Linked DNA regions of Drosophila melanogaster. The protein of the gene in region 1 interacts with the protein of each later gene in a pairwise test. Each region holds a gene or a part of one and is shown in the gene's direction. Other genes may lie near its edges.

Region 1 (7,997 bases):
TCCAAGTACTTGCCGCCGATTAAACGCGGCGGATATATCGACATATATATGACTAGCTCAGGTTGGTCGAACTTAATGCAACCTACATATATGTACAATCAAAAAAAATCCAGTTTAGTTCCTGCTAGTTTCATTTGCAATGAATATATATAACTTATCTACTCAAACTCACTTCACATACAATTACCTACAATTTATGCCGAAATTCTCTTTCAAAATTCCACTGCAGAATCTAGAACACCTGTGCAGTTTTTCCACTAGTATTTCCGATTGCCGCCACCGCAAAGAAAATAAATAAAATTAGAAAAAAAACCCTCATGACTATCACATAAATTGGACACCGTATCGCAGCTGATGTAAATTCACCGAGTTGTCATTTCCAGCCCAGAATTTGAACCGCCTCCCAAGCTCTGCACATCTCCAAAGCCACCGATCATGTTAGCCTAGCGTGTTACCTTCTAGGGGATTACTTTTCCAGGCCACTCCTGCATGCTAGTTTGTCTAATCTTTGGAAGAAGCCTTCTACCTTTGCAGTAGTGGTGCCAAGTTGCTCATATTATTGTACTGTGGGTTTAATCTCTTTATACCTTTATGTATCCACGCTGATTTTATATCAGCTCCTTGGCATCACTGCAATTTAGCATACCCACTGTTCTAAGATTATTATTTAATTTAAATTACGTTTTATTTTCATATCTATTCCATCGACACTCAACCGATCCATCGATCATCATGAACAACCGCTGCCACCATCTCCTGGACCAAATTACACACCAAAATTGCCACGAACTTGTGAATAAATGTGTAAACTATTGAATTATACTTACGCCCCAACGCACATGTGTCACCTGCCCCGCCTCGAAATCGATCTCGTACTCGTATTCGCTCCACGTCGTACGCTCGCTCATAAATTGGTTCCTCAACAATTGACAATCGACTACAACAACACGAAAATATCAATACAACACGGTTTATAAAAAAAAAAAACAATATACTACTATGTAAAATCGAACGGACATCCGCAGAGCGGTAAGAGCCTGGAGAATGTCCTGGCAATCAAACTGAAGGCCATCAAGGCCCAGAAGCTGCCGACGCTGAAGCGCGGCGATGTCTCCAGGTACTTCCCATCGTCAGGTAAGGCAAACCCAATCCGTTTGGTTAAACATATTGCAAATAGAGCAAATACTACTCGTACTACCGCTACTGTATGTCATCCGAATTGTGTGTGATCGTATGACCGTATGACCATTGAGCGTATGCAGCACCATCGAGCTGATTGTATCAGAGTTCTTCTAGTGGCACCCAGCATGATAGATCATTTCAGTCATTTACTTCTGATTTTCTCTCTATCTATATCTCGTTTACTTTCCGTAAGAGTGCATTTCGTTGGTCTTAAACTTGTTTCTCTGCATGCGACGCCTAACAATTGAGCCGAAATCAGTACTAGTAATAATCAATATCGCACTTAATACGGTCACTAATAAGGCATCACTAATCCATGGCACATCTTCCGCAGATGAGCGCATCATCGAGTACGACATCGACAAGGTGGTCTTCGAGGCGCGCTCGCCCTTCCAGAAGATTCAAATCATGCACTCCAAGACCCTGGGCAACATGCTGCTCCTCGACGAGCTGCAGAGTAAGTAAACCATACCTAGTATAGGCATCTGAATGCAATAAGTGGCACATTCACACATTGATGCGCCAACGGTGTCAGGGTCACCAATCGATTAGTGGAAGTGCCGCAGTAAAGGTCACGTGCAATTGCCTTTAAGAAAAGGTCATCATAAATAAATATAAACTGCACATAAACATAATGCACAAAAGTAAATATTCCATATCACGGGCATTTTCTGGATGCTAATGCTATGTTACCTGACAATTATTCCATATCACGAACACCTAGTTGCTTGTTAACTAAATATAATGAAATATTCTTATTGCTTAAAAGAAGAATAAGAAAGCTGAATTTGAAAACATGAATTCTCGACTAGATTAAAAACTTTTTAAGCTGTCGGTTATGAAAAGGGTAATAGCAACTTCTTTTGATTCTTTTTTAAATATAGATGTCTAATTTCCCATTTTCCACGTACAGACATTGCTGAATCCGATTTGATTTACACGGAGACCCTGATGTGTCGCGGCGTGGAGAACTACGAGGGCAAGGAGATCTGCATCCTGGGCGGCGGTGATGGCGCCTTGTTGTACGAGCTACTCAAGGAGAATCCGAAGCATGTGGTGATGCTGGAGATCGATGAGCTTGTGATGCAAACCTGCAACAAATACCTCAACGTGATCTGCGGCGATGTGCTGGAGAAACGCAAGGGCGATCAGTACGAGATCATTGTGGGCGACTGTGTGGAGTACTTGAAGAAGTTCATCGCCGAGGGCCGCAAGTTCGACTACGTTTTTGGGGATCTTACGGACATACCCATAACCGATGCCCCGGAGGGCGAGACCTGGGATTTCATTCGTACCATCTTCGAGCACTCCTTCAAGGTGCTGAAACCCGACGGAAAGTATTTGACTCATGGCAATGGGTCCACCTGCAAGGTGCAGCTGCGTCTATTCGAGGAGCAGTTGAATTTGCTGCGTCCCAAGGTGAAGTTCACCACCACCAAGGCGTTTGTGCCGTCGTTCATGGAAGAGTGGCTCTTCTACCAAGTGACTTTCGCCTGACAAGCTCAGGTGGACTCCTCAGCAGCAGCAGTAGCTACTTCTAGCGCACCACCAACCGCCAGTCACACACCAGCATCACACAGCATAAGTCAGGAACCGGGAACCGTCGGAGAGATGCTCCAGCTGCACTCCTACACTGTCACTATCCATGGAGCAGCAGTCGGAGTTCAGGAGGAGGAAAATATGAATAATGGAGCCGTGGGTCAATTGAAACCGCGACCAAGGCGTCGAAAGAAGAAGCGTGTACACTACCATCACACGCTGGTTTCTTAGTCCAGGAAACACGGAATCCGATGCACAAGCTAATCGCCATCATCGAAACCATCGCAACAAAACCCAAGACAGAGGAAAACACGCACTTCCAATGGCTGTTACTTACAATTGAAAACCAAACCAAATACTGAACCCAATTCGTTTACGCTTAAGTTAGGCTTTAGTTCCGTTTCTCGTTCACTGATTTCAATGCTAAAAACTAAGACAAAAGTACAACCTTTAAGCAAGGACAGGCTAAAATAATAACTTATGTATTCGTGTTTATTTGAATTACGCCTAAGCATAGCATGTTGGCCAACTATTTGTAATATTTCGTATAACGTGTACATCTATATAATGTAGACCATATGTTTAGTTATCCATTAACAAGCAAAGTGGAGCGGGGAAGGCCCAAGGATCGAGGATGTGTGTATGTGGGTGTGAGGAAGCGTAGCAGGAACACCAACTTTTATTGCTGTAATAACGATTAATACCAAACATTTTAAACGGGAGAACTAATAAAGTTAAATAAATAGTCGTACGCAGAAATAAACAGTGTGGTTTTCTTTTATTTTACCGGGTATTTTAATAATAAATCCTGGAATTCAATAAATTACAAATTCAATAGCAATATTCAAGTAATACTACGCATACGCAGTGTTGACCTATCCTTAATCAATATGGATAAAAAATTAATTAAGGGATTTATCGCTATGAAATTCTTAATATAAATAAAATTTTATCTTAATTATTTATATAAGTTTTTAAATTTAATTATTTTATTTTATCGTGAGCCACCCTAATCTTTTCATGACAGTGTTGGACAACCGTGCAATAGAGCACGCACTAAATATGCCCGCGGGCAGTTGAACGTTAATTTCACTTGTTGTTACGTTGGTTTTAATTTTCACCGGGAGCTAAGCGAACAAAATGGAGCGGAAACTGCACAGTGGAATGCACCATGCCACGCTGCGGCAGCTGCAGGAGTCGGGCTGCGAGATAGCGCCGCACAATCTCATGTATCCGGTGTTCATCGTGAGCAACGACGACGATGTCCAGCCAATTGCCAGCATGCCAGGAATCTCGAGATTCGGACTGAATCGCCTGAAGGAGCACCTGGAACCGCTGGTGGCCAAGGGACTGTCGTCGGTGCTGCTCTTTGGCGTTGTGGACCCGGACATGAAGGATGAGCAGGCCTCCAATGCGGATTCAGCAAAGAATCCAGTCGTTCTCGCACTGCCGAAGCTCCGGGAATGGTTTCCGGATCTGCTGATAGCCTGTGATGTGTGCATCTGCCCGTACTCCTCGCACGGTCACTGCGGCCTGCTGGGCGAAACGGGTCTGGAGAACGGACCCAGCATAAAGCGGATAGCCGAGATCGCCGTGGCTTATGCCAAAGCTGGAGCACACATTGTGGCTCCATCGGACATGATGGACAACCGGGTGAAGGCCATTAAGCAGGCCCTCATCGATGCCCAGATGAACAGTGTATCCCTGCTGGCGTACTCCGCCAAGTTCACATCCAATTTCTATGGACCCTTCCGGGAGGCAGCACAATCTGCACCGAAATTCGGTGACCGGAGGTGCTATCAACTGCCCAGTGGCTCCAGAAGCTTAGCAATGAGAGCCATTCAACGTGATGTCGCCGAGGGAGCCGACATGCTGATGGTGAAACCGGGAATGCCCTATCTGGATATCCTACGATCCACAAAGGATTCCTATCCGTATCACACGCTGTACGTCTACCAGGTTTCCGGGGAGTTCGCTATGCTGTATCATGCCGCCAAGGCGGGAGCCTTTGACCTCAAGGATGCCGTGCTGGAGGCCATGAAGGGCTTTCGACGAGCTGGTGCCGATTGCATCATCACCTACTACACACCCTTTCTGCTGGACATTATCGGAAAGGTCAAGTAATGGTCTACGTTCCATGTCCGATGTCTTGATACCATGTTCATATGTACATGCGTAGATTAGAGTGGACCTCTTAAAATCATTAATGGAAAATGGAACTTTTTGTAACAGATAGTGCAATTTTTGTAGGATTTTCTAATTATTTATACGGAGCTCTCCATATTTTATACTTTAATAAGCAAAAGAATAAATATTCAGGGACCAGCATATTCATTTTACCGATTAAGTGGCTTAAATAAGACTCAAAGGCTTTTACTTACATCAATATAGAAGTTATTCTAATACATTAAGATGTGTATTCAATAAAAGAAGTCCACTCTAGTCTCGAATCAACATTACTAATGCTTTTGGAGTGCCTCGCTCACATGCACACCCAAACTAGAATGTATATTTCGATGGTCTTATCTATTGTCCCGATTTGGAAGTCTAATGGCCCAGGGTACATTTCGAATTTCAATTGCATGGCGAAATTCAAGCGAACGAAACGAACCGAACCGGTCGATCCAGTAGCAAGAAATCGAATAGATGTTTCATTTTGTGATGGCAATTAACACTTTAATGTGGAATTCTCTCGATTGCATTTACAAATGGGCTACGGTGAGCATTGAACACTGGCTGGAGCTTACTTGCTAAATTGGTACCAGTTTCGAGTCTTACGAAAAGATTAAAATCACAAAATCAAATGCATTAAGTACATAAACAATTGGATCCGGCTCTGGTTTCTGGTGAAAGTTGATTGAGCAATAAGGTTTGGGTACTATTAGTTCTTAAAAAACATTATCTGATAAATAAAAGTATATGGTTACATTTCTAAAACTTTCACTTTTATGCCGTATACTAAATATTAATATATTTATACACAAATGTATAAACTTCAGCGATTTCGATTAAAAATTTCCTAAGCTCCAGTGCGGCCAATTTCAGTTTAAATTGGATATAAAAAACATTTGCAAGTGTCTGCACGAAATCAAAACTAATTAAAATTAGAATTTAAACTAAAAACAAATTAAGGAATCTATAGCTAATCATAACAAACAGAAAATACTGAGTGCACTAACGATATAAATAGTTCGGAATTCAGCGAGTCCGCAGCTCTAGGGACTCTCGCTGCTGTGGATGCGACTGTGCTCCAGGATATCCGTGTTCTGCATGGGCTCCAGATCCGTTTCGGAGATAATCTCTGCCAGCCACTGCTCGATTTGGACGGGATGGAATGAGTCTTCATCACCGCTGTTTGCCTCGAGGATGATCTTGAGATTCTCGAAGTTCTTAAGGATTAGCCGCTTGCCCGGCTGCAATTGTGGTCCCGATTCGCTGTGCGTTAGCGATGTGGTGGTCGAAACTGGCTCCTGTTTGGCAGCCGACTGCTTTGGATTGCAGTTGGCATCGCAACTGGAATCGGCAGCCGATGTTTGAACGGGCTCTGCCAACTGGTTGTATGTCCTGCGTGGCTTCTCTACCATGCTCTTCTTGATCTCGTTGAGTAGGCGATTGTAAAAATCGCAGGTGACATCGTGAATCTCGGTCTCCTCGTACCGCTGGGCCTGTCCAGGCGTAGGAGTGGAATCCGAGCTGGGTTCACGCTCTATCTTGTCCAGCTTTTTGTTCGCCTTTTGCTTTTTGGACTGCGAACGGGAGCTGGCATTACTGGAGTAATTGGAACTGGAGGCGGTGGTGGTGGGCGTGGAGTTCGAGGGTTCGGTGGTACTGGAATCGGCGGACTTGGCCAGGGGCATCTCTGCACTCACCGCCTCTTCGCTGGCGCAGTTGATGGTCAGGCTGGCTATGTTGCGCAGATTGATCGTGCCATTGCAATTGTTGATTGTGATTTTTGGCTTGAAGCGCTGTTTGCGACCCTTGCATTTCGGTGGTTCTTGTACGCTGCTCTTTGATTTGGCAGAGGTTTCTCGCCCCAAGCTGGAAACGGCTTCGGCAATCGAAGATTCCAACTCGTCATCCAGCTCCTCCAAGTTTAAGGGCGGCACATATGTATCCCTCTTGATCTTGGCCTTTTTTATCAGATCCTTTGCCTCCTGCAGTGTAATGTTGATAATGGAGCGCTTGGCATTATCTTCGACGAGACTTCTGTTGCGAGAGAAGTCGACCACAATGGCCTCTGGTGGGGCACCGTCTTCGTCCAGATCGAGATACGATACTTGCCCATCCTGCAGGCACTTGTACATGGTCTCGTGGTCATCTAGTGGCTCTATGTAGTCCTCGTTCCTCAAACCCGTGGTGCGGTAATCCTGCAGCGCCAACTGCATATCACTGTTGTCCAGCAGAAAGTGTCCGTAGCTTCGGATGGCTGTCAGTAGTTTCTCCTCCGCATCCTCGCTTTCCCCGGGAATGAAACGCACACCACTTTGATCTTTCTTGCCAACCGAGTTCGAGTTCTCCATTTCGGTGGGCGACTTCTTCAGCAGCTGCTGCTGCTGTCGCGTGTTCGCTATGACCTCCAGTTGCCGGAGCAGCAACTTCTCGCGCATATGCAACGCAGCACGGATTTCATTGAACTTCTTTTGTACGGTGTCTTTGACCTGGGCGATGAAAAATTGGGGCGTGTATCAGTAAACAGCAGTCAAAACACACAGTCCATTCGGTTTTAGGGGGCTGAATATAAAAAAAGGAGAGTACAAACACAAACCTCATCCAGATTCTTGTCCATTTCGTGCGTGCTACTAAATACTTTCTCCTTTCTAAACGCTGCGCATTTTTTTTCATAAATTCCTGTGTATCAATATTTTTTGTTTGATCGATCAGCTGAGTTGCGGAGTGCCCGCCGCTTTTAGCTAATAAAAAACCAGAGGCTCACAAGGACTGGTACTTGTAACTGGTCACACTTTACATTTGGCGGGAAAATTGAATTTGCAAGTTTGATAAGAACATATTTCATATTAAGTATTATTTTGGCTTTATGCCAAAGATTCTGGTAAAGTTGTATTTAGTAAAAACACTTTCATATTCCTCATTAACGATCTTTCTGTTTTACTACAAAAGCACAAGCAAAATCTAGCAAAATAATATAGGCAGCTCTTTAAAATTGATGAAAGGCTTTGTGTTTTATTTATTAAATTATTTAATTATTATTTATTTATTTAAATTATTTAAAATATTTTGCCGGGTTGTTCAAACTTTTAACGTTAGCGGAAGTGCAA
Region 2 (6,658 bases), on another chromosome or scaffold:
AAGGATAGTTCCCAGAACTGTGACTACTTCTGCATGTCAGCAGTAAAGAATTCGATATCGGAGTACAAGTCGAAAAATGATTCGGAATCATGGAGTCTTCATCCCACGAATAATGCCTTCCTGCAGTCAATACTACGACTGGTCGAGAAGGTGAACAACCCAAACAAGGCATTTCTAATACTGTACTTCGTGTCCAACTATGCTCGTGATGGAGCCGATCAGGTGGAGGCCTCCTACGAGTGCTGGAAGTTTGTCAAGGAGAAGGGCCACCTGATTACAGATCCAAAGAGTCGCGAGCAGGTTGCCAAGGTGAAGCGACGGTATCCTATTCAGAAGACCCAGCACCTGCTGTATGTCTATGGCCTGACCGATGAGAAGCTACTGCGCCAAGTTGAGAACCCCACCGAGCTTATTCAGGCGCTCTACCACCATGAGCTGATCCTCAAGTCCAGCAAAGTGGATATTAACGCTCTGGTCGCAGAGATAGCCAAGCTGCACGACCTCTGCTTAGCCACCATCCAGTACCGCCTGCTACAGAAGTGGCTCGCTCTGACTATGGAGTCTGCGGGTGATGGTACCATTTTGGAGGAGACCTTCATGGAGGAGCAGAACTGGCCGGAGCAGGCCAACGGCGCAGAGTCCTCCAACAGCCAGGACGCCAGCGAGAACGTAAATAGAGCGTTTTACATACTTTCCAGTTGGCCAAAGGCGGAGGCAGTCAAGTTCCTTGTGGGTCTGATCTTCAAGGGCGGGTAAGGATTGGTACTTAAAAGTTAGCGAAAATAATTCATTGAATAAACCCTTCCACCAGTTCGGTAAACACCTCCACACAGCTGCAAATGTACGAGTGCTATTCCAAGCTAAACGATGGCAGCAACTCCTTTACCAACACGATTAGCCAACGCCAGTTCATCAGCATCAAGTGTGTGCACGAGCTCAAGGCTCTGGGCTACAAGTCGAACCTGGAGAAGTTCTCCGACGACCATTGCAACAAGATTGACATTCTGAAGATGATCTGGCAGCGTAATGCGCAGAATCCCCTTTCGCTGGAAGTCATGGCCAACATTTGCCTGGGCTTTGATATACACTTGCCGCAGATCTGGAACGGCATTCTGAAGCGCATGGTCATGTTCCATATGGTGCGCGAGCTGAACGCCTTGTTGGATGTACTCAGCTGCCGGCCGCATCTACTTCACCTGGATGGACTGGCCCAGGCCTGGGACTATGTGCTCTGCCATCCTCTGCAGAACGCAGTCGAGCTACGATCCTTTAAGCAGGAAGAGGTGCTCCACAAGACGCTGCTGCGCCTGCAGGGCTGTCCGGTGGTGCACGCCCTCAACCTGCTACAGTTCGCCCAGCTCTGCATCGTCGTCCATCGACCGCACATGGCCGCCTCTCTACTCAGCTTCTGCCAGAGCAGCGAGCAACGCCAAAAGATCAAAAAGGTATGCTCGAACCGCGCACTTTAACGAAATGCTCTATTGTCACTCTAACTCTTCTTGCAGATGATACATTCCCATCCGGTGGAGAACCTTCGGCAACAGATCTTGGATCTGGAAGATGCTGGTATTTTGCCGGTGGTGCTGAACTTTGCGCTCAAGGAACTAAATCTGTAAGCGTAGAGATTTGGATTTTACTATTCCCATAATTTTTTGTTTTATTGGTCGAATATCTGCGTTAAGTGCGTTCGGGTCAAGATACTTTTGTAAATATCAAGGTTTTATACCTGCAAATATAGTTTATACAAACGATGACTATTTTCTATTTTAATTTTAATATGTTATTTTATATACAGTAGCAATTAGTCAATATTCAAACAGTACAATCTCTTAATTTCATAATTTATGCATCACAAAACAATGTGTTAATTTGAGAAATTGTCTAGGGAACTTCGCTTCCCAGTTTAAAATTAACAACAATCGGGATGACGTCATACGTATGTATCACTTCTGTAAACAGTGGGCTCAAGTTGATGGAATACTGAAAATAATGAGATATATTAGGATTTTTTTTAAATGAAGACTTTGTTGTGTAAAGAACAGTCAGTCTCAAATCAATTTAATTAAAGTAAATGGGAAAAAATTAATATACTAAAGAATCGAACTTTTCGAAATTAGTTGGAGACGAATTTTCTCGAGCCCACTGTACCAGTCAGCTGTGGCCGCCAGCTGTTTTCTATTTGGGGTTAGATCAAAGACAGGTTACACTTTGTATGTAACTTGAAAAGCAAGGAGAAAGCTGCGAAACTAAGTTAAACCGAGATGATGCGTTCTTTGATAGGAGCACAAAAGTGCTGGGGCCTGATCCGCACCAGGAACTTTATGGAATTACCCACCAAACAGGTGCCAGCATCCTTCGCATTGTTCAAGTAAGAGCAAAAAATAAATGATGAGCTTACATGGTAAATGAGTACTTTCATCTCTAACAGGCGTCACTACTCACCGCCCACGCATATCAAGCAATCAGCGGTCGCCAATGAATCCGGAACCATGGCGGAGGGTAAGTGTTGTCTTGCCAGAGTCAAACCCATCGTAATCCCCGAACGTCTGCAGTCAAGCAGGGGATGATGAAGCGATTGGGGCTGGAGCCCGGTTACAACCCGCTGCCCAAATCCAGGGAGCAGCTGCTCAAGTACCAGCCGAAGCTGGAGGATCTGCCTCCAAGAGCTATGCAGGATTCCTTCACCTCGGCCATCATTCCTCTGAGCACGGACCGCAGTTTGCAGGACAAATATGTGACCTATCTGGGCAATGTGCGATTCGGGCGACTTCTGGAGGACATGGACTTGTTTGCTGGTATGAGGAACACATTTGCTGGAATCTTGGCGCACTTTCTCACTATCCGCTATTTCCAGCTTGGTGCTGTCATAAACACCTGGTTCTGCCCAATCTGCCGGAGGGAGTTCATCTGCCGTACACCTTTGTGACCATTCTGGTGGACCGCATCGATTTCACCAATGTCTTGGCTTCAGGCACCCAAGATATCCGTTTGTCTGGGCACGTTTCCTGGGTGGGAACCAGTTCAATTGAGGTGGTAGTGTGGCTGGAACAGATGGTTGGCGGGAGGTACCAAAAGTTAACCCGTGCCTTGTTCCTGATGGCAGCAAGAAACGCTAACAATACCGGAGCGGCTCCTGTGAACCCCTTACAGCCGGCCAACGAGGAAGAGAAAGTGATTCTGGCTGGCGGCGCAGATAGAAAGAAGAAACGTCAGATTCTCTGTGCTCAGTCCATCTTTAAGGTGGAACCCAATGACCCGGAGCAGACAATTATGTACGAGCTGTACAAAAGGACAACTCCCACCAACACTTTGGAACTCAACAAGCGCATCCTGCCACCAAACTGTCGCTGGATGGAGGACTCTTTCCAGATGAGCACTATTCCCTCATTTCCGGAGCACAGGAACCACCACAACCGGGTCTTCGGAGGCTTCCTCATGCGAAGTGCCCTGGAGATAAGCTGGGCAGCAGCCTACCTCTACTGCAAAACGCGACCCAAGCTGGAGCACATATCCGACATCAGCTTCGAGAAGCCCGTCAGCGTGAACAGCTTCATCAAGATGACCGCCTATGTGGTGTACACCAAGGAGAACTACGTGCAGATCATGACCGTTGCAGATGTGATGGACCCACAAACGGGCAGCCAGGTGACCACCAACACGTTCTACTACACCTTCTCGTCTCCGGACACGGTTACCGAGGTGCTGCCCCGCTCCTACCACGAAACCATGTGGTACATCCAAGGTCGTCGAAAGTTCGAGGCCAGCATGGGCCCAGTGTAGACATGGTTCAGCCTGTGATTGTTACTCAAGATATTATGCAAGGCTATCCTACCAGATAAATGCAATTACCAGTTCAGTGTTTACAAAAAGCAATAAATGTCTGTTGTTTAATGATGTGCTTAACCAACCAGCTTAAAACTTTTAAAATCTTCTATTAAACCCTATCGAAGAGTACTAGATTAAATGTTTATTAATATAATAACTGTCAAAATAATCCCTAATTTTTGCCGACTTTACATTTTTTGGATACCCATTACCTGTAATCAAAAAAGCAGAGCTGAAGCAAAATTTATAGTTTTAATTTCGTGTCGGATCTGAGTTCAGATCTCGATCCCGATCCGTTTCCATGGGGCCTGGTCTTAGAAATGTTAAATTATGTGTTGTACCTTTTTTGCTCGGAGCCCGCAGCTGCCGGAGCTTGTTAAAGGCCAGGACCCTCAGGAAGATGACACATAAAAATTCCAGGTGAAGCACCAACACAACTAGCAGAAATCAGATTTTATAGGCCACATTTCTTCTAGCTCTAATGGGCGTAACTCCTCTGCGGACGGTCAATACGCCACTATGACGGAGAGTAAGTACTTCCATTCCAGAAATAGGTGCTACTTGTCCAGATATCCCTTTTAGTCAAGAAGAAGATGCTGAAAAGCTTCGGCCTGGAGCCTGGGTTCACCACGGAGCCGAAGTCCAGGGAGGATCTACTCAAGTACCAACCCAAGTTTGAGGACTTACCTGCGCGATCTATGCAGGACTCGTTTTGTTCGGCCATCATTCCTCTGAGCACGAATGCAGTTCTGCAGGACAAGTATATCAACTTTAGAGGCTTCGCGCGCCTTGGCAGGCTTCTGGAGGACATGGACATCTTCGCCGGTACCATCTAGTTTGGCCAAAGCCATGTTGTTGAATAATTGTCTGCTTAATTCTTCGTAGCTTGGTGCTGTAATAGGCACCTGAAAGTGCCCAATCTGCCAGAGGGAGTACCCTTGCCGTACTCCCTCGTGACGGTCCTGGTGGACCGGATCGACTTCACCAGTGTCTCACCCCAGGGCACCCAAGACATCCGTCTGTCTGGCCACGTGTCCTGGGTGGGAACCAGTTCCATGGAGGTGGTGGTATGGCTGGAGCAGATTGTCAATGAGGAGTATCAGAAAATCACGCGAGCTCTGTTTCTGATGGCGGCGAGAAATGCCACCAACACAGCTGCGGCTCCAGTGAATCCCATTCAGCCTGCCAACGAGGAGGAGAAGCGCATCCTAGCTGGCGGGACCGACAGGAAGAAGCAACGACAGCTACTCATCGCTCAGTCCGTCTTCAAGGTGGAACCCAACGCCGAGGAACAATCTCTCATCTACAAACTCTACAAAAGGACTACTCCCAACGAGCAAACCGGTCCGCGCCGCCTCCTGCCTCCCAACTGCATTTGGATGCACGACTCCTTCCAGATGAGCACTATTCCCTCATTCCCGGAGCACAGGAACCAAAACAACACTGTCTTCGGGGGATTCCTCATGCGCAGTGCCCTGGAAATTAGCTGGGCAACAGCGTTCCTCTACTGCAAGGCCAGACCCACGCTGGAGCACATATCGGACATTAGCTTCCAGAAGCCGGTCAGCGTGAACAGCTTTATCAAGATGACCGCGTATGTGGTGTACACCCAGGAGAACTACCTGCAGATCATGACTGTTGCCGAAGTCCTGGACGCGTACACGGGGAACCACGTGACCACTAACACGTTTCACTATACCTTCTCCGCTCCAGACGCGGTTACTGAGGTGCTGCCTCGCTCCTACCACGAAACCATGTGGTACATCCATGGTCGCCGCAAGTTCATTGCCAGCAGAAGCTAAGCCTCAAAAAAAATTCCCGCTCAGTTTAAATTCACGTAGTCAGTATTTCTTATAGCTAATGTACACAAAGACTGGATTAGTTTGAGCAAATCTTGTAAAATATGTTAACCAAACTGTGCCAGGTGATATTTCCTGATCCAAAAATCTATATGATGCCTATTAAATCGAGTAACTATTCAAATTCCTTATCGAAAGCAGAAAGCGTATAGTTGGCCGTTGGCCCTGGCTTTTATTTCGAATACCCAGTTGCGTGAAGATCATGACCACTGCCAATGTTCTGGGCACGCACGTGATTGGTGGTGAGCCCTACTCCCACTCCGCAGATTAGATTGGGTCCACAATTGATTCATAGAAAACATTATATTTTCGGTAATGTTTTGCTGTCTAATCAGACCGAAAATTGAATGTAAAACTTTCCATCTTCTTCGCTAGTCTGGCACTTTTCGAAAACATCATCTTTACACCTCATTTCAGATTAGATTGCAAGCTTGAGTAGATGCACTGAAAAATAAGATGTTTCTGTGCTAGAGACGGAATATATTCAAACACATAGTCAGTACAATATTATGGGATCACATCATTCTAGCATCAAATAATCTAACATATTTTCAAAAGATTTAATTCCCAAAAGATCAAAATATACAAATCCGCTCGAGAACCTACGCTATTTCTTGCAGTGCAGGCAGAAGATCTCTCACCAAGCGGACAGGTGATCGTCATGCGCGGGTTCTCAGTCGCCGGAGAGCCATGTAATCGCACAACGCGGAACATTTGCCAACGCTCCACTCGGTTCTAGAATCACTCTCTATTTTGCAGCCCAAGTGAAAGCACTTCATGTAAATCCGAACGAGCTGAGGCGTATTACGTATTAGGAGCTGGGAACTACACCCAAGTGCCCTGCAAGTGATTTCCCCAAAAAATCCATGCCATTGGATCCCCCCAGTAGGCGGTTCAACTAGTTGCAATTTCCAAGGCCCCGTCAACCTAGACACCTGGAAACGATGCTGTGTACCTTGGCACGGAGTTTTGGA

The links. Proteins that work in one complex are often made in the same cells at the same time.
Region 2: the proteins of Pbgs (region 1) and CG1635 interact in a two-hybrid assay, tested with the Drosophila melanogaster proteins (one large-scale study listed by BioGRID).

Annotation. Positions count from the first base shown.
Region 1 is NT_037436.4:12,267,140-12,275,136, reverse strand, and holds Pbgs (porphobilinogen synthase), read left to right. Parts: upstream 1-3,791; 5' UTR 3,792-3,861; coding exon 3,862-4,845; 3' UTR 4,846-5,685; downstream 5,686-7,997. Other genes in the region: Sms (spermine synthase), read left to right, coding at 1-61, 1,517-1,639, 2,096-2,679; CG32100 (uncharacterized protein), read right to left, coding at 5,937-7,379, 7,487-7,507.
Region 2 is NT_033777.3:31,586,492-31,593,149, forward strand, and holds CG1635 (uncharacterized protein), read left to right. Parts: upstream 1-2,181; 5' UTR 2,182-2,261; coding exon 2,262-2,368; intron 2,369-2,428; coding exon 2,429-2,499; exon of another isoform or gene 2,500-2,552; coding exon 2,553-2,795; exon of another isoform or gene 2,796-2,854; coding exon 2,855-3,780; 3' UTR 3,781-3,901; downstream 3,902-6,658. Other genes in the region: rod (rough deal), read left to right, coding at 1-752, 812-1,445, 1,506-1,616; CG1638 (uncharacterized protein), read left to right, coding at 4,127-4,245, 4,302-4,354, 4,408-4,650, 4,711-5,627; CG1774 (uncharacterized protein), read left to right, coding at 6,629-6,658.